Kluyveromyces lactis: one gene and its partners. The protein of the gene in region 2 purifies or fractionates together with the protein of the main gene of each other region. This does not show direct contact. Links are inferred from orthologs where the notes say so. Each region holds a gene or a part of one and is shown on either strand. Other genes may lie near its edges.

Region 1 (5,352 bases), about 400 kb from region 2:
AAATTGGCAGCAGTTTGAACTGCCATGGATTTCCCCTTTAATACAGTCTTCTGTAGTTTAACCAAGATCAACGGCGGGATAACCATGATTGGTGTAGCATTTGATATTCTACTGAACGCTGTTTCAGCAACAGCGATGAAGGCTGCTTTTTTTGATTTGCCAACCTCATCTCCATTGGAGTCATAAACTGAGATTCCTTTACGGATTTCGCCTCCCCTCATCAAGAATACATTAACTATACCTGCTGATACAACAGCTGCGAAGGGTACAAGACGTCCCAAGATCATTTTAGTGTTTGCTGATAGATGTTTCAGCCTTGGAACTAGTTTGTTCAAACCTACTGCCACACCACACGATGCAGTGACGGCCATAGTATAATTGGTAATCAATTGAGTGGTGGACATAGGATGAGATTTGTTTGCATTGGCCCCATTAACAGCAACATTCAATGATTGATTAGCCCATTGCCAGAACAGGGTACCAGCGGTACCCATATTAGGAGTTAACATACCAGCAGTAACTATCAGATTTGAGGGCACACAACAGGACATACGGAATGGGAGAAACACAGTTTCACCAGTATCAGGATGAACAGTAGAATCTAGCTGTTTCTTTGCATGCCAGAACTCAGGCGTCGTTTCTTTCAACTCTCCATGGCGATATGCACTGATGATTTTGCGAGCTTGTTGAAGATCATCACTGCTCGTTAACAACATCGTTGGATCAGAAATCTCTGCGCAGTGACGAACACGTCCCCAATAGGTGCTTAGATCATAACGAGATTCTGGTAGGGCAATTGGACCTGGGACACTGGATGCCATGATAAGCTGTACTCAAGTGTATCGAAGTCTTTTGGATGAGCTGAGCTTCTACGAGACAAACACGACTTTGTTCTTGCTTAATTACTTTCGAGATGAGATGACTCTTTAGATATAAATGCATTATTCTCTCGAGCTTGCATTTTTTTTTTTCATTCTGCAGCGTCAGAATGATACGTACGGCGTTACAAAGCTGCTGGAATTCTGATAAGAAAAAAGACAGTAATTATTGATCTAGCAATAGGTTATTATAATTCTCTTATTCTCGGAGAAACTGTACTAGTGAAACGATGATGATTCCAACCACTTCGATTTCCAATTTAGCAATAACATATTTGTCTTTGCCCTAATCATATTCTTAACATGTCTAAAGGTAATATGATAATTTACCCGGACAACTAATTTTCTCTGCCTGAAAAAAAAAAAGAACAGACATCCAGTATAAATTGAGAAGCTTTTCACCTTGAGAAAAAGACAAGGTTAAAGCAAGTACTCTAAGTTAATCAAATTCGAGTCGACTGTTCTTTTGATTATTTGGCTTAAAAAAGTGATACGAAACATATTAATGCCTTCTATTCACTGTGCCATCTGATACACCGTAGATGAACAGAGGGGAAAAGAACGGCTAGATGAAAATTCTATCCGCGAGCGTACCTCATACTGATTAAAGTACTTAACTATTTTTCATCAATTGGCTTTAATTGGTAGCTGCGTGAGCGGGACATTCTCTATCTCTTGTCACTCCTGAATTTACTTATACTTGTATATACCATATATTACTCGTGAAAATGTTTAGTATTACACGGTCATTAGTCTGTCACTTAGCTATTGGTGTACTGACTAATTTCCACTACCCGGTTCCTTAAAACATATACACGTGACTGGCATTTATTTCTGGCGGATTTCTTTTTCGAGCAGTGGTTTGTTTCCCAAAAATTTTCCAAGCTCATCGCATCTTACAACGCTTAGAAAATGTACAAGATAGGAAGAATAGAGTTAACGCGCTCCATCGTACCTCAGTAACAACGTGCGATCACAATCTATTAGACAATTCAAACTAGAATTCACTGGAAGAATATCTTAGTTATAAGGAGAAGTAAACTGTAGGGGAATATGTCAACAGATAAGACTCAGGTGAAGCTACGCTTCTTTACTCGTGAAGAAGATGAGACTTTACATGTCAATGATGCTCCAATCTATGCTCCAGTTAGTCTAAAGAGATATGGTCTTTCTGAAATTGTTAATCACCTACTGGAATTACCTAAATCTATGCCATTTGATTTCCTTATCGATGGTGAACTTTTGAGAACATCGTTGCAGGACTATTTGATCAAGAAAGGTTTATCATCGGAAACCTTTTTGAATGTTGAATATACTAGAGCAGTGCTACCACCTTCATATTTGTCTAGTTTTGATAACGAAGATTGGGTAAGCTCATTGGATGTCGGAAGCAATTACATCTACAGTGGTTCCTATGACGGTATCGTAAGAACGTACAACTTGTCAGGGAAAGTCGAAAAACAATACAGTGGTCATTCTGGCCCTATTCGTGCTGTGCATTACATTTCTAGTACGAGATTGGTGTCCGCAGGGAATGATCGCACTCTACGTCTGTGGAAAACGAAGAATGATGATTTGAAATCAATTGATGAAGAAGAAATTGAGGATGGTAAGACATTGGCCATCTTGGAAGGTCATAAAGCCCCTGTAGTGTCCATTGATGTTTCGAAAGACCGTATTCTATCTGCATCATGCGATAATACGGTGAGCTTGTGGTCCACGAATTATAAAGAGATGACTGTCATTGATCCGATGGAGGATTTAGGAGGCAACGTGTCTACTGCAGCCAAGAAGAGGAGAAAGTTGACTCTAAAAGATGGATCTATCAGAAGAAGAGCCCCTTTGGCTCTTTTTGAATCTCACAGTGCTCCAGTAGAGGCTGTCATTTTCGATAAATCGGATGATACTGTTGGGTATTCCGTGTCACAAGATCATACTATAAAAACATGGGATCTGATAACGGCAAAATGTGTCGATACAAAGACGACATCGTACTCACTTCTTTCTGTTGCGCAACTACCAAAATTAAATCTCTTAGCATGCGGGTCGAGTGCCAGACACATTACTCTTCATGATCCTCGTGTAAATTCTTCATCTAAAATCACCCAACAGCAGCTTGTAGGTCACAAGAACTTCGTTGTCGCTTTGGATACTTGTCCAGAAAATGAATATATGATATGCTCTGCATCTCACGATGGAACTGTCAAGGTTTGGGATGTTAGGTCTAACACTGCAATGTACACTATCACCAGAGAAGATAAAAATGTTGTTAAAGGTGTCAATGATAAAGTGTTTGCTGTCAAATGGGCTAAAGGCGTAGGTATCATCAGCGGTGGTCAAGACAAAAAAATTCAAATTAATAAAGGTGATAATATATTTAGTAACTAATCGTAATTTTATATATTATATACAGGAATTATGCTCACTAGTTCACTTAAATATAAAAGAAATGTACCACAAAAAATGTTGAGAAACAACATAGTATTTGCAGGGTTCTAATGTTAATTATCTTTTTAGTTCCGAATGGAATTTGGCTAGACCATAAAACCCTTGGAATAAGGATTCGTAGTCTGTTAGGTAACCATTCAAATTTTTAACATCAACCTGGTTGGAATGATCTTCCCATCCACGTAATTTACGTAGTCTTGCTAGCTCATCGTATGTGAATTGTACTAGTGGTCTAGTTCCGTATTTCAACGGTCCAACATTAACCCAGTGTAAACGTCCTGTACAATTGTTAGAAAGCATCTCAATAGCATTGAAGTAATCAAACATGTTTGCTGCTGTGTCAATAAAGAATGCAGAACATACTATTATATTTTTGTATTTTTTCTCTGGTTTATAGCAGCAAAAGTCACCGAAAAGTACTGTTAAGTTCTCTGGCTTTTGGAACTTATCCAAGTCCATCCTAAAGTGCCTGGTTTGCGCTTCCATACTTTGTTGACCACTATAAATTTGATAGAAGGGATCAACGGTGATATTGTCCGTAGTTCCGAGGACATATTCGTTACACAAATACATCAAAGACGAGTATTCAATAGATGTAACCTTTGCTTTTGGAAATCGATTGGCTGCCTCATAAGCTAGCCTTCCACATCCAGATCCTGGTACAACAATTAATGTGTCTTCATCGATGTCACAATTTCCGAAAGACTCCTCAATGAAATCTACAAGAGGCTTTCTTTCCAAATCATAAACATCACACCAATCTCTGACAATGTGACACATGGCTTCATTCACACGGCTTTGGTTACTCTTTTTAGAAAATCGAATGGAATTTATTGAATCGCGAACCAATGTGTCATTTTCTTTGTCCCATGTATAACCAGCGTCTCTCAGTACTGATTCAATTGCTGAGTTAAAATCATTGTTAACAAGTATTTCCTTTAGAGTATATTCTATAATTTTGCTCAAGGTGTCATAATTTACATCAATTGATTTGTTCACGGCAACTATTTTATCGAAATAACCGATCTGGTTAAGCTGTTCTATATCACTGGGAGTTACGTTGCTTGTTCGTTGATAAACTATCCCGTTTTGTCTTAGAGCTCTGATCTTGTACTCACACAATTGTGATAATGATGCAGCAATATCTTTAAGTGATTGCTGCTTCGTAAAATAAGGCGAATCGACTAGTTTGAAGTTAGCAGAGACCGGTGGATAAGACTGTAATGTTGTTAATGATTTTTCCAACTTTGACACAAGCCAGTTCTTAAATGCTTTATTTCTGGTAAAAGATGCCATTCCCAACGATAAAATAATAATCAGAATACTATTAAACACCGAATTCATAACACGTAAGGATGGTCACAAAGCAACTCTCTTTAAAGTTATCTACGCTGGGGTTTATCTTCATAGCTTTGTCTTTTTGTTCGGTTGCACCTCATTAATTGGTAAAAACTAGAAATACACTAAATTTGTTATGAACGCATTTGACTTTCAAAGTGATGCAATGGTCAAAAAGGTTTGTCAGTGAGAAGGGATTAATAGACAAAGGCCATTTTGAGTTGTCAAACTATTTATCAGATGAAGTCCAAGTGAGAGGCCCTTAGAAAGGTGCAGATGCGACTATTTAGAAGTGTTAAGTAGAATTATACATAACTTTGTCAACAGGGACAACGAAAATACCAGAAAAATAAGAGTCAAGGTAAATATAGCTTTGAGAAAGCCATTGAAACGAAATGATATATTCTGAAAGCTGTTGTTTACCGCACTTTCTAGTTATATAATTTGACAACAACGGCTCCAAAGAGGTTATTATAGTATCGTGACTTAATGAATACCATTCGAAGGATTGAAATGAATCAAGAAGAAATATCAGAAACTTCAGATTCCATTCACTTCACTTACAAAGTTAAGGTAAACATTCTGAAGGAACCGCAATATACGTGTACATAGACCTGCCGACTTCCCGAATACCGGAATTTTGACATTGATTTATACCATAGTATGTTGTACTGACATCATCGTTGTA
Region 2 (7,205 bases):
AAATATATGATATAGAAATTCTGTAAAGTTTCAAGGATCATACAGCCAGGTCATATAGAAACACAAAGAATCACCTCTTCGAATCAGTTTCTTTATCAGGTAAAAGACCATTTTATTGTCAAAAAGGAGAAACTAAACACGGGTTTCTGTTTACGTTTTAGAGTTGGTTGATAGGTTGTTTTTTATTACAGAAATAAAAAGAACAAATTTGAAATTAAAGAGTGCTTGTTTCGGTTTCTGTTCGAGGGTTTTCTATTGAACTTTATTCTCTCTTTTCGCTGATTTCCTACTACGAGTTTTCAAAACTACGTCAAAGTTTTTTGCTTATTTTTGTTATATAAGTGCTGCATTTTTGGTGTTGTAGTTCCGTTAGCTTTTTGTTCTGATTATCCTTTCTGCATTGGCTTTCTTTCACAGAACGATCATTAAGACACACTCCACAAGGAAACGCGACTAAAAGATTTGAGAAAAGACCTTCCATCTATCTTCAATTTTACAATAGCTTCTAGTTTCCGGACGTTATCTTGTTTCAGTTGATTAGATACCAAAGAAAAGAATAAGCAGTGTTTCTTCCTGAAAACACTTAACAACACTGTCATATCAACTGTCAGTACTCCTTGGAAACATTTAAACATTCGCTTCTGTATAAGTTTCAAAAGGTTAAGCAGAAGGCTTTTTGTTTTCCCCATCTATCAAAAAGAGAAAATAACAAAAATGAACGATACTTCAGAGCATTCCAGTGATGTCTCTCCCATCATTTTCGATGATATCTCTCAAAGCAAATTGAAAGACTCATCTGAAAATGAAACCACGGATAGAATCATTATCAAACCGGTCAATGATGAAGATGACACTTCAGTCATGATTACTTTCAACCAAAAGATTTCTCCGTTTATCTTGATCTTGACCTTTACAGCATCTATCTCTGGTTTCATGTTTGGTTATGATACTGGTTATATATCGAGTGCATTGGTCTCTATAGGTACGGACTTGGATAATAAAGCTCTAACATATGGTGATAAGGAAATAATTACAGCTGCAACATCTTTGGGTGCCTTAATCTCAGCAGTGTTTGCAGGGATTTCTGCCGACATTTTTGGTAGAAAACCTTGTCTAATGTTCTCTAATATTCTTTTTGTCATTGGTGCTGCGTTGCAGGTTAGTGCACATTCATTTTGGCAAATGGCAGTAGGTAGATTAATTATGGGGTTCGGTGTCGGTATTGGGTCGTTACTAGCGCCATTATTCATTTCTGAAATCGCACCAAAACATATCAGAGGTAGACTAACGGTGATAAACTCACTTTGGCTAACAGGTGGTCAATTGATCGCTTATGCATGTGGTGCTGGGTTGAATAAAGTTCATAACGGTTGGAGAATTTTAGTCGGACTTTCTTTGATTCCAACTGTGGTGCAATTTACATGCTTCAGCTTCTTGCCAGACACTCCGCGTTTCTACGTGATAAAAGGTAACTATAAGAAGGCTGCAGAAGTTTTACAAAAGAGTTACATTAACGCTCCCCAGGAACTTATCGATCAAAAAATCCGTGAACTATCAGATTTGAATGAGGCTATCCCAGGTAAGACCCCTGTACACAAGTTCTTCAACACTGTCAAAGAATTACATACTGTCCCATGCAATTTCAGGGCATTGGTGATCGGTTGTGCTTTACAAGGTATTCAACAATTCTGTGGTTGGAATTCTTTAATGTATTTCTCTGGTACTATTTTTCAAACTGTTGGTTTCGAAAATTCTACTGCAGTGTCTATCATCGTTGCCGGTACTAACTTCGTATTCACTTTAGTCGCTTTCTTTGCGATTGATAAGGTCGGTCGTAGAGCAATCCTTTTGATTGGCTTGCCTGGTATGATGGTTTCCTTGGTTATGTGTGCTATCGCCTTCCATTTCCTAGATATAAAATTCACTGGCGCTGGTGAATCGGAAGTTTCCAATGGTGGATTCAGTTCTTGGGGTATAGTCGTTATCGTATTCATCATGGTATATGCAGCATTCTATGCTCTAGGTATCGGTACTGTACCATGGCAGCAATCTGAATTATTTGCAACATCCGTTAGAGGTGTAGGTACTTCTTATTGTACAGCTACTAACTGGGCTGGTTCCCTAATTATTGCATCTACCTTCCTAACAATGTTACAAAACATAACACCGACTGGTACATTTTCATTATTTGCTGCACTAGCTGCAGTATCTACCGTCTTCTGTTATCTCTGTTATCCAGAACTATCTGGTCTAGAATTGGAGGAAGTACAAACTATTTTAAGTGATGGATTCAACATCAAAGCTTCCAAACAACTAGCCAAGAAGAGAAAGCAACAAAATAGCGAAATGCAAAGGAGATTTAGAGAAAAGGACATGGAAGCTTATCAAAAGGATAAACCCTCCGATGAACTACTTGAAAGTTAATGTAAATGCAGTCATTCCCTCTTATTCTCATACCCGAAGCTACTGTCTTGGTTTTTCAATGAACTTCATATGAAGTTGAGTATATAGATAACCATAAAATCTTTTAGAATTAACAACTATAGCTGCTAAAGTTGTCCACAATTACTACTGTAATATTATCATTGTCATGTGTAAAACTCAACTTGTTTGTGATTTACAATAAAAATCTCGTTAGTTTGAAAGGGTGACATTTACTCATTTCATAATTAACTAACTCGGAAGAGAGAGCTTTCGAGAAATAGAGCTAAATCTTTGAAGCATGTAATAAACTGCCATATTCGGTTTAATCAGCCAAATCCTGTACCAACTGTATATTCCCCCCATCAAAAAAAGAGAGATTCTGGCGAATGTTTATTTGAGTTCTTTCTTTTTAGCATATTATGAAAATTTTCTGAACTTGAAAAAGAAGCGATGAGATGAGATGAGCTTATACAGTAGTAACTGCACTATGGGTAGCATTAAATAACAACATATACATTCTTATTCTCTCTCGTAGGACAATACAGCACTACAGATATGGCAGCCACGTCGAAAAAGTTGAACAAGCGTCAATTGGAATCTAAGGAGTCGAAGGATTCTGGTAAAATTGTAAAAAGAGCTAAAAACATTAGTGTTGATTCTGGCGATGAAGATTCTGATGATGTCCTCCACGGTTTATCTTCAGAAGATGAGCTAGATGATGAATTAGATGATGCTAGCTCAAATTCAGATTCAGACGAGCTAGACAACGAATCTGATCAACTGGATGAATCTGATGAGGATCAAGAAGATGCTGAAGATGAAGAAGATGCTGGAACCGGAAATGATGCAGACAAAAAAGAAAGTAATGGTGTCAGCCAGCATGCCGAACAAAGAAAAACATTAAAGGAGAGAAAACTTCAGCGTAAATCTGGTGAAACAGTCCAGCAGATCAAGTCTTTATGGGAAAGATTACGTGTCAAGAACCCTCCAATTCCAAAGCCTGTCCGTGAAAAGCTATGTAATGAGATCTGGGAACTCTCGAATGATTGTATTGAAGATTTAGTATTGAAGCATGATGCATCCAGAATTGTCCAGACATTAGTCAAATATTCTTCCAAAGAGCGCAGAGAACAGATCACGTTGGCATTGAAAGATAAAATTTATGTTTTGGCCACATCATCATATGGTAAATATTTGTTGGTTAAATTGTTACATTATGGTTCCCGAAAATCTAGACAAATCATAATCGATCAACTACATGGTAATTTGAGAAAACTAATGAGACACCGTGAAGGTGCCTATGTGGTCGAAGATTTGTTTGTTCTTTATGCCTCTCAAGAACAAAGAAATCAAATGATCAGAGAATTTTGGGGTTCAGAATACGCCGTATTCAGAGAATCTCATAAGGAACTTACGCTCGAAGAAGTTTGTGCTTCCAGCGTAGAAAAGAGAAATATTATCGCTAGAAACTTGATTGGTACCATCACTGCTTCTGTTGAAAAAGGTTCGGCAGGTTTCCAGATTTTACACGCAGCAATGAGGGAATACGTCAAAATCGCCAACGATAAAGAAACATCTGAGTTCATCGAACTTTTAGAAGAGAACTTTGCGGAATTAGTGCATACCCCAGAAGGTGCAGAAGTTGCATCTACTTTAATCGCTAAAGCAAATGCCAAAGAAAGAAAGGGGTTGATAAAGACCTTGAAAGAACATGCAATCAAGTTAATTCAAAATGAACACGGTGCCGTTGTTTTCATAACTTTATTAATGACAGTCGATGATACTGTTCTCGTCTCCAAGGCATTTTCCCCACCAATTAAGGAACATCTTCCAGAATTGATTGTTGATAAATTTGGTAGGAGGCCGCTCTTATTCCTACTTTTAGGATTAGATGGTAAATACTTCGGTCCAAATATGAAGAATGAACTACAAAGATACATTAAGATGTCGGAAACTACTTCCAAGAAGCCATTTGACCAAAGAAGACTTGAATTATTAAAAAGGTTCGCACCAATGATTTTATCTGGCGTAAACGAACACTACAAAACCATTCTAGATGAAAACATCGGTTCTCAATTTGTCGCAGATTTACTCGTTAACGATGATGTCTATGAACAACTTTCAGAGTCTGATCAAAAGTTGTTTGCCGAGCTTGTGGACACCGTCGCCATTTATTTCAAAGGTGACATTTCAGAAGAAGACCACCCTATTAACAAACCATTTTCGGCAAGGTTGCTAAAGTCTCTCATTCAAAATGGTAGATACAACGTGAAAGCAAGAAAACTAGAACCTCTAGAAAAAGTTCAGGGACTTGGTATTCCATTTGCTGAAAAATTTTATGAAGACATCATTGATTCCAGCAACCTACTCGATTGGATCAACAAACCCAACAGTTCTTTTACCATTGTGGCATTGTATGAAGCCTTACATGGGACTGAAGAAGGGGAACAATTCGATCATGATTTGAAAAAAGTGATCAAGAAAATAGAGACGAACGATTCAAACAAGGGTGCTCAACTACTTCTAAAGCTAATGAAGCATTGAGTATGTATAGTCAAGTCGTTATATAGTTTGGCTCTAAAATATGTATATTAAAGATGATATAGCTTCTCATCATTGTGGACGAAGGACGTTCTAGTCTACTATTAAGATTCACACTTCCTTAAATGAGACTATCATCTGCGAACCAGAGATAATACAGCTAAGAACATTTATTCCTCAATTCACTAATTACAGCAGTGGCATTGATGGCTTATGAATGACGATACTAAAGAGAAACCCATTTCAACTGCCTTTGAAGTAACCGATGGATTATATGCTGTTTCACCATTAATCGAGAATGTGCCTCATGAATATGAGTACTCATGTATCGAATATTATGGTCAGCACATCTACCTGGGCTCGACTTCAGGAGCGTTACTACACTATTATGAATTAGATGTTGGAAATTTCACACTGATCTCGGAAGTCAACTTCAATGAAGACAGACCAACAGGAATTGATGGCATAACGCTACTGCCGAAAATTGATAGAGCCTTAGTGTTGTCCGAAGGGAGACTCAAAATGTTTCTCCTGCCTGAATTTGCACCTGCTTCAAATATACCAAGTATTATGAATATAACAGAACTTTCACTTTTGGAGTTCTGTGAGAAAACACAATGTTACTCGTGTTTCTTATACACGAAGAACTTGGTAAAGCGAGTAAGCATAACAAGCAAAGAGATAAAAGTCGAACAGAAGTATAACATCAAGAGAATTAGAAAGGCCATTCCTTCAAAAGACGCAAAACTCCTTATGGCAGCTGTTGATAACTCTTACTCGATAATCCATCTTGAAAATGAGCTGGTAACTCCTTTATTCAAAGTGTCTGAGACAGATGATGAGGAACTCTCACCAATTGTGACAAATTTTGGAAAAAGTGAATATATCGTCACATGTGGAATATCAAATGACCAAAACTGTATGGGACTTATATTAAACGATGATGGAGAAATCACTCACGGTACCGTGGTTATAGAAAATTATCCACTCACAGTTATAGTTGATAATCTGTATGTGCTATCAGAATTACATGGTTCTAAATGCCTTCAAATTCATTTAATAAAAGAAAACAACGACCCAGTAGTTATACAAAATGTTAGAAATCAAACCCCGTTTCATATTACAAAGTTGCAGACTCCTTTCATAACGAGACAGTTTAATAAAGAATTAATTGAAAAACTAAGATATGTCCCTTTAATTGCAGAAGAACTCCAATTTCGAGAAGAACAAGAAAAAGCATATGTGGCCAGACAAATTGCGGTTGAATGCCACATGATTATCTACGGAAAATGTGGTATATATTCTTTATGCCGAAAGCCATTTCTACTCACCATTTCGAGCTATGGCGAAGATACTCTTCCAATTTTGAAGTCTTTCATCACTGAAGAGTCACAAAGCAATTACCAGCTTCTTCAAAAAAGCTACTTGCAGTTCCTTTATGTCTTGCTGTTAACATTACATATGGAACACATTGATAAAGATTTAATCGATGCCTGGCTCAAATATATTGATGTTGCAGATATCAGAGTATTAATTTACCTACTTGGTTTCGACATTTACGGAGATTTGTGGATTCCTAATGGGTTATTAGCATTTTCAAAAAAATTGCATTCATTGAAGCTAGTTCACAAGTGTAATGACGTTCTGAACATCATACAATACTTGAAATTTCAACTAAAAGAAACGTGTTCCGATAGCTTAAAAGATAGTGCGAACGTTTATTTATCGCTCGATTTAATTCTATTACGTGATAACATCGCTAAAGGCAGTTCAAATGTTGATGAATACGAGGCGACTAGTTACCAAGAAATTGCTAAAGAGCTTTCTAAGCATAAAAAAGAACATTCAGAAACTTTAATAGCCATATATGAAAAGACAAAAGAAGTGACCCCATTGCTCGAAATACTAAGACAAACAGATCAAAAAAGGCTCATAAATTACCTGAATACTCATTTCCAAGAGCTACCCGATACTTACTCTAAAGAAATGCTGACTGATGATATTTCATCAGCTTTGAAAGATTATAACGATGACACTGTAAGCGACGTTTTACAATTAATAAACAATTTAAACTTAGATGTGAAAAGACTCATCTCATCCATCGAAGACCCTGATACAAAGGTTCTCTTGCTTGAAAAACTGGGTGCGAGTTCCACCCAAGATTTGACATTTCTTTACGAGTACTATAAAGCTAAACTTACTGTTTTGAACAGCAAGCTAATAGAAAGTTCCAATTTACC
Region 3 (6,409 bases), on a different chromosome or scaffold from region 2:
CTTCTCTGTTCGCTTTGTTCCCTATTACGCTCAATACCGAAAACTACTTACTTTCTATTTACAGGGCTATTTCCATATTGCTGCATATAGTTTTGTGTATCCAATCACCACTTGTAATACCAGTACAAGTTTGATGGTGGGCTTTGAAGAGTTCCAACTATATCGTTGGGATCTTTTTGAAGAAGTCTTCTTGAGAGAATATCTTTTGAAGTCCTATTGATGTACATTTCTCTCATTCTGGCAAATGTATCTTCTTCGGTATGGTTCATAATATAGGTGTCTGAAATTAGTGGACGATCGGTTGGACAAACATCGGCGATGTCTCCACTTTCAATATACTTTTCATAGCTTTTTGATATCAATTTTGATAACGGTTCTCTAATGCATACCCTGATACCTTTAGGGACCCAGAGTTCATAAAGACCATTGAAACCATATTTTCCAGTAGGTTTAACTTGAAAATATCCGATATCTTTTAGAACAATTTCGATTGCTCCATTAAATGGAGGAATTACGTGCCTATCAAACATCTTAATGTCAGTAAATGGTTTCTTGAGAGCAAAAAATTGGCGAAGTGAATGATTTTCTGACTGTAGCACCTCTAGAGATAAGCTAACAGCCTTTTCGACATTTGAAAACTCATGCTCCGGAAGAGGAATGTAATTAACCACCTGATTTATAGTGGAATTTGGTGGAACAAGATGAAAAATTCCTCCAAAAGACAGGCATTTACCAGTTTTTGAACCCGTCAAAGAGGTGTAATTTTGTTTTATCAGTTTATCAATCTTAAACTTTGAGGTTTTCCTTATGTTATCAAGCGTTTCCTTCTCGATATAATTCGCTAGATCGGATACTTTAGTAGGATCCATTGTATACCCTGGTAAATCGTTCACAACTTTATCTTCTATCAAATAAGTTTGCATGGTTCTGGTAAAGTTGGGAATATGTGATACTCCACCTTCATTGAAGATGGCCCTACGGCGAGTACTTTGTATTTGTTCGTGGCCTTTTGGAGGACCAATAACGTTGCCTCTCTTATCAAGTTGAGCTTGGAAACTTGTTGATTTTTCATGGAGCAAAGAATTAATGAGAGACGTTTTCCCAACGTTAGGATTACCCAATAAATAGCATCTTTTAGCCAAAGCATTTATCACTGATGGAATATTCCAATTTCTTGGGTTAGAGAACAATACTACTTTCTTAACATGTACGCCTATATGACGTCTACAAAATTCCGCAAAAAAAGCACTCCCTTTATGTGGTAGCATTGATGACTTGTATGTGATCTGATCAGCCTTTGAAAGTAGTAAATAGTTTCTATTATTCTTTTCTGCCAGGATAGTTTTGTCTAATGACAAGGGAAAGTCAGACAAAGACACAACGTGGTATACGTTTGCAGCATGCGGCAAAGCGCCCTTTATATCGTTGAAAGAATGAATTGGAAAATCAGATGAGTTGTACCTGTTATGACTTATAGCATCGACACATCTTTTACAAACCAATCTTTTGGGAATAGGTTCTTTATAATCTGGATCGGTGTCTGGATCAAGTAGCCCGATTTCATGTTTTTTTAGCTGAAGTTCTTGTGTGAACATTAAATACTTCAAATCTTCAATGGTGCCAGCATCTTTCCTGACAGCGCGAGGAGGCTTATAGTAGCCTGTCACAGAAGGATTCTTGGATTGCAACTCAACACCACAGCTTTTGCATGATACAAACCGAGTAAACTGCTTAAAAGCTTGGAGCCGTGATTTCATAAAAGGTAATACTACTACTATTTTCTGATGCATATACCTCAGTACTCTTATCAATAACGGCTCAAAACTGTTGCATCTCTCGACATTCTGTTTGCAGTTTGTTGCATCTTTTGTCGATACCTTTCCAAGCATGTCAATTACCATATTACTTGCACTATTCATCGATGTCAAGGCGATGCCATTACCCGGATACAAAAAGAAACGCCATGAAAAGTTTTCCAAATATCCAAACCAAAATTCAATCCGATGAGATGAGATGAGATGAGATGAGATGAGATGCCCCAAGAAGAGATATAGAGAAACTTTAACGCAGCTCTAACAACTTAACCAGTAGTCGCTCTAGATAATCTTCTTGAAATCATATTGTTGATCAAAGGCATAATCTTGGGACCTGTTACCTATTGATAAAGGGATCAAGAATTACACAATGGGTAAAGTTTCAAAAGCTACTAAAAAGTTTCAGACGAAACACTTGAAGCATACGTTGGACCATAGAAAGAAGTTAAAAGATCATTCTAAGAGAACCGCCGGTCGTAGGGGTAATAAGACAGAAGAAGAAAAGAATGCAGCTGCGTTGACCAAAGAAGATCAAAAGTTGAAGAAGTCCGCTAAGGAAGAAGTCTTCAACGACATGAAGGTTGAAGAGTTCTTCGACAATGGGTTCGATATTCCAAAAATGTCAAAGAAAATGGCTAAAGAAACCGAAAAAGCATCAAAGGTGAAAGATAATGATTCAGAGTCTTCTGCCGAAGAAGATGAAGATGTTAAAATGGATATGGAAGATTTGGCAAAGAAGGATCCTGATTTCTACAAATATTTGGCAGAGAACGAACCAGATCTTTTGTCTTTCAAATCTACCAATCCTCTAGATGAAATATCAGATGACGAAGAAGGGCAAGTGGGTGAAGAAGAAGAACTGAAAGAACCTGATTTATCAAAGTCCAAGAAGGAGGAAAAAGATAGCAAAATTGCCGTCGACATAAAGCTCGTAAATAAATGGAAGAAGGATTTAAAAAATAGCCCATCTTTCAAAACTATCAGAAGTGTGGTTTCAGCTTTTAAAGCTGCTGTGAACATGAACAACGAGGAAAATGTAGACGATTACAAGTTCACAGTTCTTGATGAAAAAGCCTTCCACGAGTTAATGTTCGTTGCCCTTGTGGATATGCCAAAAGCCGTCCAAAAATTGACACCTTATAGGGTCAGTAAGAATGAAACCAGAACTCTCCCATCAAATAAAAATGTTACAAAATTGTCCTCTGTTTTGAAATCGCACGTTCCATCTCTTATCGTTCTCCTAAGTGACATCACAAACACAGACGTCGCTTCAATGATTTTGCATTCTACCTATGAGCTATTACCATACTTTATTTCATTTAGAAGATTACTAAAAGAATTAATTTCTCAAGTCGTCGAAGTTTGGTCCACTACTGGAGACGTTGAAACTCAAATTGCCACATTCGCGTTTTTGAACAATGCCTCTCGTGAATATAAGAAAGCTTTATTAGAAGTTGTATTGAAGTCCACGTATTCTACTTTCATTAAAAGTTGTCGTAAAACTAACATCAGAAACATGCCTCTAATCAATTTCCAAAAGAACTCTGCTGCTGAACTTTTCGGTATTGATGACGTTATAAGTTATCAATCGGGTTTCGAATATATCAGACAACTAGCCATTCACTTGAGAAACAGTATCAATGCCACAACTAAGAGGTCCTCAAAGGTGGACCCATCAAGTGCTTACAAGATTGTATATAACTGGCAGTTCTGTCACTCTTTGGACTTCTGGTCTCGTGTTATATCCATCCAATGTAACCCAGAAAAGGAAAACGGCCACGAATCCCCTCTTAGACAATTGATTTACCCACTAGTCCAAGTTACCATTGGTGTCATTAGATTGATTCCAACAGCACAATTTTTCCCATTGAGATTTTATTTGATCAGATCCTTGATCAGATTATCTCAAAACACTGGTATCTTCATTCCAGTTTACCCATTATTATCTGAGATTCTCTCCTCTACTGCATTCACAAAGAAACCTAGAAAGTCAACGTTACCTGCATTTGACTTTGATCATAACATCAAGTGTACACAAGCATACTTGGGGACAAAAATATACCAAGACGGGCTAGCTGAGCAATTTGTAGATTTGCTAGGTGAGTACTTTGTTCTATACTCCAGAAGCGTTTCATTCCCAGAATTAACAACGCTTGCCGTTATCTCATTACGTCGTTATATCAAGAATTCTGAGAATGTAAAGTTTAACAAGATGTTGCAAAACGTGGTAGATAAAATCAACCAAAACGCTCAATTCATTACAAAGAAGAGATCAGATGTAGACTTCGGACCAAACAACAGAACAGAAGTAGAAAAATTCTTAAATGAAATATCGTGGAAAGATACTCCTCTTGGTTCCTGGGTTGCTATCCAAAATGAGGTTAAGGAAGAAAAGGCCAGACTCTTAAGAGAATCCTTGGAATCTGACGATGATGAAGAAGAAGAAAATATTTCTGACGGAGCCCAAGACATAGTAATGGATGATGCTGAATCTGAAGCAGATGAATAATCAAATGATTGTATGATAAGTTCAAACTTTCTTCAATTTTAAATTCATTGGTAATCCTATGTCTTCGACCATCTTATATTGGATTGCCTCCTTGTCAAAGACATCGGCGGTAAATTTCATGAAAATAGAAATTACATTATGTAAATTATTTTAAACATGTATACTCAACATTACATTCAGAATACAAAGCTCGGGAGTACAATCTGCGGTAGGCATAACTTGACCAAGTGGAATAATTCTTATACCAGTACTCATTACAGGCGTTATGTCGAATGTCATGAATTTTGAAGGTGATAGTGAAACAACCTTAGTTCAAGAGAATGATTCATTTAGTGATATCTTGCCCAAGTTATCTTGCAGAAACCCTGAAGAAAGATCTACGGGTAGTGTGTTACTTTTAAAGGAGATCCGGAGGTTAGAGAACGATCTTGATCGACAAATACGAGATCTTACGAAGAAAGAGTTTGCTTTGAAAAGGGCAGTGAAAATAATGCAAACTTACGACAACGAACTCAAGACTATCGAATTAATAAATAAATGGAGGTCTATATGTCAATGTGGGATGTCTTACATGTTGAATACCATATTGGTTAAAATTGATCGAATGGGCGGTTATCAAGAGTATAAGCGGAAAGAAATAGAGGCAAGAAAGCGCCAAGTTGAGTATCAATACGATGACGGCATTCAACAACAAATGGAAGAGATCTTGGAATCTCCGGACTTCTTTCATTTGCCAATTGAAGAAAAGGAAGAAATCAGGGAACGGATGGATGAGAAAGTGAGAGAAGCAGAAGAAATGAAACAGAACGAACTCCAGAAATTTGAGAATGAACTAAGGAAAGAAGATAATGATGAAATGACTTTGCAGGAGCTAGCGGCTAAACTAAAAGTTGACTATGATATGGTATATACTAATCAATAATGAAAATTCAAGTGAAAATGATGCTTTATAAGTAATACTGAATAAATAATGTTACTACTAGAATCGTCAGAAAATGCTTACAGTCAAGCTTCAAAGACATCGCCTAATTTCAATCTTGGTGCAATGTTCATCGCAAGCAATTCCTGGAATAAAAGTTTGGCTGCATAAGGAATAGTCATTTTGACAACATGTTCAGCGGTTTTACAGCTTGTACACCATCCACTATAACCCATCAAACCACATTTTTCACAAACATCGACTTCAAAGGCATCAGAACTTAACATTAATCTTTCCAACAATAGTTGTGAAGCACCGTATGCGATAACACAGTCACGTTCCATTTCACCCAATCTTAGACCACCATCTCTAGATCTACCTTCTGTTGGTTGACGCGTTAACACTGCCCTTGGACCTCTGGCTCTTGCGTGCATTTTGTCAAGAACCATATGCTTCAACTTTTGATAGTAGATTGGACCAAAGAAAATGTAAGCTTGTAAACATTCACCAGTAATACCAGAATAAAGCATGTCCTTACCGGAATAGTTGAAACCATTATCGACTAAAATCTTTGACATGTCTTCTAACTTAGATCCACCGAAACAGGTACCGTATTCAAGGGTACCATTCAAGACACCAGCTTTACCTGATATCAACTCAATCATTTTTCCAACGGTCATACGAGATGGGAAACCATGTGGGTTCATGATAATATCTGGTACTACACCTTGATCGTTGAAAGGAAGATCTTCTTGTTTTACGATGATACCACAGACACCCTTTTGACCATGTCTCGATGAGAATTTATCACCCAATTCAGGTCTTCTGTTTTGTCTCAATAGAACTTTGATCAAAGCCTGGTCATTATCAGAAACTGACATCATAACTTGATCAATATGAGAAGGTTCTGGAGCTCTATATACCACTGGAGTCTCCTTGTACTGAGCTTGTGTTTGAGTTAGAATGCTATCCGACGCATTAGTTGGAACAGATTTATTGACATAAATTTGTCCACTTTCAACCTTCATTCCAACTTCACCTAGCCCATCAGGGCCTAATGCTTGGTGTTGCCATATAGGCTCACCATTTTCATCAACTCTCATACCACCAATAATATCCTGAGTATGATTTGGATATCTCTTCAACACGGTGGTGTTCTTACGACGA
Region 4 (5,842 bases), on a different chromosome or scaffold from region 2:
GTATATTATAGTTGATCCGAGAATTTTATAGGATATTCAATTCAAATTTGGAAACTGGGTATTCTTCCCAACTAATGGTTTTCTTTTCTTGATTTTTTTTTAATGTTAGTATTAATATTCTTTTTTTTTTGGGTTTTTGTAATGGGTATTGTTAATAATCAATTAGCCTTCTCACTTTTGTCATTACTGACTCTAGGAAGGTTGTCCCATTTCACGACACCAGATTCTATCAGTTGTGGGTCGACCACTTTTTCTTTGTGTTCGTATAATGCTTTGTATCCACCTTTCACGGTACCTTCTGTGACTTGTAAAGTCTGAGAGATTCTTGTAGGACTGATATTCAATTTGAATAGTAGAGTTGCCATATAGATAGCTGCTGCTGCGATGGTGATAGGAGATCTACCAGCCAAGACATTGACATCCTTAGAGTGTTTCGCGATGTACTCTGCAGCATTAGCCACCTGCACTGAAAGGCCCAAATGAGAACAAAATCTAGGGATGAAAGTCTCTGCACTTGTCTGTCCTGTGGTGATATTTGAAGTATCAATATTGGCAAACCCTCTATCATTCTTTTCTCTTAGAATGTTCTTGATGATGGTAAACGTCTTCCCGATTTCCTTCTTCCGCACGTTAGTCAAGGATAAGATTTCCTTGAAAGATCTCCCGACCTCTGCTCTCCGACATCCGACAAGAATAACTGAAGCCATGATACTTTCCTGTGATTTCCCCTTCAAGACTCTCTCTTCGAAGCATAATTTATAAGCTTCTTTAGCACAATCTTTAACAATCTTGGGCAGTTCTGCAGCATCACACATCATAGTAATCTTCGCATATGCAGCTTGCAACTCGTTATCCTTCTTGTCAACGATAGATTTCGACTGAGCCCTATTCAAATCCCTAGTAACTCTAGCATCACTTCCCTGGGCCTGCCCGATACGTGTGGTTAAATGGTTTCCATCCAACAAAGGATTTGAAGCTTCACCAACACGACTTGGATCGTCTCCATTCTGATCGTCATTGCTAAAAGTACGCCATTCTGACCTGGTATCCACAATTCTATCCGATAAGACTAACCCACATAATGCACAGACGATATCACCTTCACTAAACCGTTCCACAACTTTCGGAGGATAAACTTTACATTCGGGACACGATATAACAATGTTCAAATTTGGCCCCCTCCTTCTAGATGAGACAGCTACATTTGCTGAAGCTGCTGCTGGCAATGACATAGTTTCTCTTTTCTCTTGCCTCGGTATATGACTCAGAACAGCCTAAAAAAATAGCTGGAAACTGAACGGTAAGAAGTCGAATGATGAGCCGCTAAGATAACTAAACTTAGGCGCTGCTTTTGTTATAAAAGAACAGAAGAAATACCGATTAACCAACTAGTAGACGGACAAGACTGTGTAAGTTGCAACTGGATAGCTCCTTATCATTTTAGTTTCTCAATTTCTAAGCAAAAATGCTGGAAACTCGACGGAAATATATATCACGTGATAAACGCCACAGAAACAACCGTGGCATGTCTCTTGTTTACGGTTGATGAAAATTTTCACGAGATCCGGGTAACAAGTAATAACTTCGCAGTTATTACTACACTGACTGGAAGTAGAGAGGATGAGAGATGTGGTAAAACAAGTTCCACCCTCGCAACTTCGTATCGTATATCACGTTATATCAGTTCTTATTACTGAGATGATTTTTGTTCCCTGCTAGTGTCAAAAAAAACTGCGCAACGGCTACTGGGCTGCCTTTATATGTACTGACAGTTTCACTGCCCTTGACGGTATTACTGTATATATAATGTTAAATATCTGCCTGGAAGTGCTCATAGATATACCAAATACGTCCCAAATATTATTGACACAAATTATGGCTTGCGAGTAGCATAAGATTGCCTCGTAATTGACGAGTATCCACTGTGTTTCCACTGTCGTCCGCCAGCAAAAAGAAATTCTTTTCTACTTTGAAATTTTTCAGCTCTTCGAAATATGTTAAAACCTGCGATGAGATGAGATGAGATGAGATGAGACTTGATATTTACAGAACACCTGTTCAAGTAGATGTTTCAGTACTGTTTTCCGTGATAAGTTCACCGGAACAGCTAAGATATCTATAATCCAGTGCAGTAAATATACCTTTTTCCATTAATCAAAAGAGATGGTGAGAGTAAGAAAGAGAACTTCCAAGAGAACTTCCACTCGTATGAAGGAGGGTATCAAGAAGAAGGCTGCTGCTCAACATAGGAAAGAGCGGAAACTTGCTAAGAAGGATGTGACATGGAAATCCAATAAGAGTAAGGATCCAGGTATTCCGGCCAATTTCCCGTACAAGAACAGGATCATCGAAGAGATTGAAGCGAAGAGAAGAACTGATTTGGAGGAGAAAGAACGTAGAAAGCAGGAAAGGTTAGAGGCTAAGAGAAGAACTCGTGAACTAGGTGAAGATGTTGGTGATGACGATGAATCTATGGATGAAGATGAAAACGACGGCAACAATGGTCTTTCTGCTTTGTTAGAATCCGCTCAGCAAGCTGCAAAGGAGTACAATGGGGAAGGTATCGATGATACAATGAATGGAGAGCAAGAGGATTTAGAGGTTGCTGAATACGACGTAGACTTTTACGCTGACGCAGATGATGATGATTCTGAATTAGAAAAGTCTAGAAAGGCTTACGATAAGATATTCAAGACTGTGGTGGATGCGTCCGATGTTATCCTTTACGTGCTAGATGCAAGAGATCCAGAAGGAACTAGATCGAGAAGAGTGGAACAGGCCGTGCTTCAATCCCAGGGTAAGAGACTAATTTTGATCTTGAACAAGATCGATTTAGTGCCACCATACGTGTTGCAACAATGGTTAACCTTTTTGAAATCCTCGTTCCCTACTATTCCATTGAGAGCTGCTCCTGGTGCCACTAACTCCACATCTTTCAACAGGACTTTGACTCAGGCTACAACTGCTTCAAGCTTGTTAGAAGCTTTGAAGACTTACTCCAATAATTCAAACTTGAAGAGATCCATCGTTGTTGGTGTCATCGGTTATCCAAACGTCGGTAAGTCGTCTGTCATTAACGCATTGACCTCTCGCCGTGGTGGTTCTTCTAAAGCATGTCCAGTGGGTAACCAAGCTGGTGTCACTACATCTATGAGAGAAGTCAAGGTAGATAACAAGCTAAAGATCTTGGATTCTCCAGGTATTTGTTTCCCAAGTGAAAATAAAAAGATGAGTAGAGTGGAACAAGAAGCAGAGTTGGCCTTGTTGAACGCTCTACCTCCAAAATTCATCATAGATCCTTACCCAGCTGTGCTCAAATTAGTGAAGAGACTTTCTAAATCTGAAGAAATGACTGAAAGTTTCAAGAAGTTGTACGAATTACCACCTATCCCAGCTGCCGATGCAGACTCTTTCACCAAACAATTCTTGATCCATATCGCCCGTAAGAGAGGTAGATTAGGTAAGGGCGGTGTTCCAAACTTGGCCAGCGCTGGTATATCCGTTCTTAACGATTGGAGAGATGGTAAGATCCTAGGATGGGTTCTACCCAATGCTTCTAAGGAATCTGCTGCAGAACATGCTGCTACATCTGGTGAAGCTAACCAACCAACTCTAGGTACTGGTGCTGTCGCAGCACCAGCTAAGGTGGAACAAACGACCATTGTTCAAGAATGGTCCAAGGAATTCGATTTGGATGGTCTTTTCGCGTCATTGGATAACGCCATTGAAGCTGAACAAGACAACTTAGGTAATTGAGAACACAGAAAACGAATTATTCTGCATCTCTATGAAATACGATCAAGGATCCTATTGCTTATTTTATTTCGCATCGTTAAAGCTATAGATTTAAAAGCTTATGTATTAGGATGTGAATTTGAACACCCGTTTCAGTCCACGCACCTAATAGACAATACACATTTGTACACTACTACATATAAATGATTTAATATCTTCTTCGGCAAGACGTTTTTGTCATCTCTTTTCTTTAGGTAACAAACCTTTAAATAATACTTTAAATGCCTACTAAAATCAAAATGTTTAAAAGAGTGAAGAAGAGAAATAATCCGTGAGTCTACCATACGAACTCCAGGCTACACTATGTGTACAGCGTGACTAAATCTAGGGCCAAATATGCAGATCAATGTCAATGATAGATTGAATATAGGAGGTGAGTTTTGCACAGTACGATACATCGGATCATTGCCAGAATGGCCTAATATCGTTGCATATGGTTTAGAGTGGGACAACAAGCAAAGAGGTAAACATGATGGAACGTTAAACGGAGTACGATACTTCAGAACATCCGATGGACAGAGCAGTGGCTCATTTGTGAAGGAGACTAAACTAGATACATCTCGGCAAGAGAGAACATCGTTTGAAGGTGCATTATTGATGAAATACGGTGATACTTCATCAATCGATATTACCTACAAATTTGGGTCGAAAGAGACTGAGTCATATGGATTTGAGCATTTGAATGAAATGAACTCTGATTTTGACAAGTTGGAAAGTATCACGCTATCAGAAAACAACATTTTCCGAGCTTTCAAGACAACCTGTTCGAGCATTCCGTTTAATAGTGCTCATTCTTCTCTGCGATACCTTGATTTATCCTTCAATCTGTTTTCTGACATAAATGAGGTGTACCGCATACTGCGACTATTTCCATCTGTCGAGACTGTTATATTGAGTGGGAACTGTTTCACGAAGTTAGAAGCGGATTCCAGTGAACAGTTTGAATTTTCCAATGTCAAAGAACTATCAATGGCATGTTGTAAGCTCCGAAATGGAGATATAGAGACAATAATAGAGGCTTTCCCTCAAATAAAGGCGCTAGACATTTCTTCAAACTTGCTATCAAAACTTCCAGATGTTTTAACCTCATTACAGGAAATCAACATATCTGATAACCTTTTCATTGGCTTCCCAAAAGTTCTTTCAAAAGAATCATCCTTAACTAGCATTGACATTTCAGAAAACAAAATATCAGACCTTAACGATCTCAACACCAACAGTCATATCATGACTCTTAGGATTGATAGAAATAGGATCACAAGTTGGGAGGAAATAGACAGTATAAATACGGTTTTCCCTAAATTAGAGACGCTTTGGATTAAGAAGAACCCGGTATGTTTTGAAGATACGCAAAAAGGTTTCTATAGTATCATCGCAAGATTGAAGTCTTTAAAATGTGTGGATGGAACTAGGATAAGTGAGGATATAAGAAATGAGGCAGAACTCTATTTCATATCGCTGGTTTTATCGTCTCAGATAAATTATGATACGCAAAGTGCTATGTGGAATCATTTGACACTGAAGCACAGCATAAACACAGAAAGTAGAACCACCGTCCAACAAACGAATTTCCTTTCAAAAGAACTGATTGAAATTCCAATAGTTTATGATTCTGAACCTATCAAGTTGAAACTATTGAAAAGCTTCAGTGTGCGTTATTTGAAGACCTTTCTGCGATATAAATTTAATCTACAAGGCGAAATTTCCCTGCAATACTCTGTCATGGACAACATCAAACACGATTTCACCAATGAATTCTCTCCCCTAGCAACCTATAATATAGAAGAGAGTACTATATACATCAAGTCCAAATAAGACCTTTATCAATTAAGTACATTAGAACCAATGAAAGAAAAATGGTATAAAAAAGATGACTATATCGATTATGTACTTTGAATAATGCTGATGACTACGTTAACAGTAAACGGGAAATGCCAAGTGAGCGTAAATGTGATAACAAATGCGCTTCAATCAGCAGAGAATGTCCAAAGAGGATCACCCAAATGATGAATCATTTCCACACCATGGCCCTTGTTAATTTCCTTAA

The links. Proteins that work in one complex are often made in the same cells at the same time.
Region 1: the proteins of PUF6 (region 2) and YTM1 purify together in Saccharomyces cerevisiae (affinity purification with mass spectrometry; 5 studies listed by BioGRID, with this or other methods). This does not show direct contact. The link is inferred for Kluyveromyces lactis from reciprocal best matches to the Saccharomyces cerevisiae genes PUF6 and YTM1.
Region 3: the proteins of PUF6 (region 2) and NOC2 purify together in Saccharomyces cerevisiae (affinity purification with mass spectrometry; 3 studies listed by BioGRID, with this or other methods). This does not show direct contact. The link is inferred for Kluyveromyces lactis from reciprocal best matches to the Saccharomyces cerevisiae genes PUF6 and NOC2.
Region 4: the proteins of PUF6 (region 2) and NUG1 purify together in Saccharomyces cerevisiae (affinity purification with mass spectrometry; 5 studies listed by BioGRID, with this or other methods). This does not show direct contact. The link is inferred for Kluyveromyces lactis from reciprocal best matches to the Saccharomyces cerevisiae genes PUF6 and NUG1.

The regions. Positions count from the first base shown.
Region 1 is NC_006039.1:645,587-650,938, reverse strand, and holds YTM1 (Ytm1p), read left to right. Parts: upstream 1-1,931; coding exon 1,932-3,266; downstream 3,267-5,352. Other genes in the region: FSF1 (Fsf1p), read right to left, coding at 1-821; KLLA0_C07403g (uncharacterized protein), read right to left, coding at 3,384-4,670. UniProt on the Saccharomyces cerevisiae protein: Component of the NOP7 complex, which is required for maturation of the 25S and 5.8S ribosomal RNAs and formation of the 60S ribosome.
Region 2 is NC_006039.1:1,046,134-1,053,338, forward strand, and holds PUF6 (pumilio-family RNA binding domain-containing protein), read left to right. Parts: upstream 1-2,979; coding exon 2,980-4,968; downstream 4,969-7,205. Other genes in the region: myo-inositol transporter ITR1, read left to right, coding at 715-2,424; CORVET complex subunit VPS3, read left to right, coding at 5,179-7,205. UniProt on the Saccharomyces cerevisiae protein: RNA-binding protein involved in post-transcriptional regulation. Component of the ASH1 mRNP which transports the ASH1 mRNA to the distal tip of the bud, where the ASH1 protein is translated and targeted to the daughter cell nucleus.
Region 3 is NC_006042.1:100,679-107,087, reverse strand, and holds NOC2 (mRNA-binding ribosome synthesis protein NOC2), read left to right. Parts: upstream 1-2,184; coding exon 2,185-4,323; downstream 4,324-6,409. Other genes in the region: GEP3 (Gep3p), read right to left, coding at 105-1,919; MEI5 (Mei5p), read left to right, coding at 4,589-5,245; DNA-directed RNA polymerase III core subunit RET1, read right to left, coding at 5,329-6,409. UniProt on the Saccharomyces cerevisiae protein: Involved in the intranuclear transport of ribosomal precursors.
Region 4 is NC_006040.1:1,171,991-1,177,832, reverse strand, and holds NUG1 (RNA-binding GTPase NUG1), read left to right. Parts: upstream 1-2,163; coding exon 2,164-3,756; downstream 3,757-5,842. Other genes in the region: SUA7 (transcription factor TFIIB), read right to left, coding at 159-1,232; PAC2 (Pac2p), read left to right, coding at 4,132-5,610; TMA20 (translation machinery-associated protein 20), read right to left, coding at 5,763-5,842. UniProt on the Saccharomyces cerevisiae protein: GTPase required for 60S ribosomal subunit export to the cytoplasm.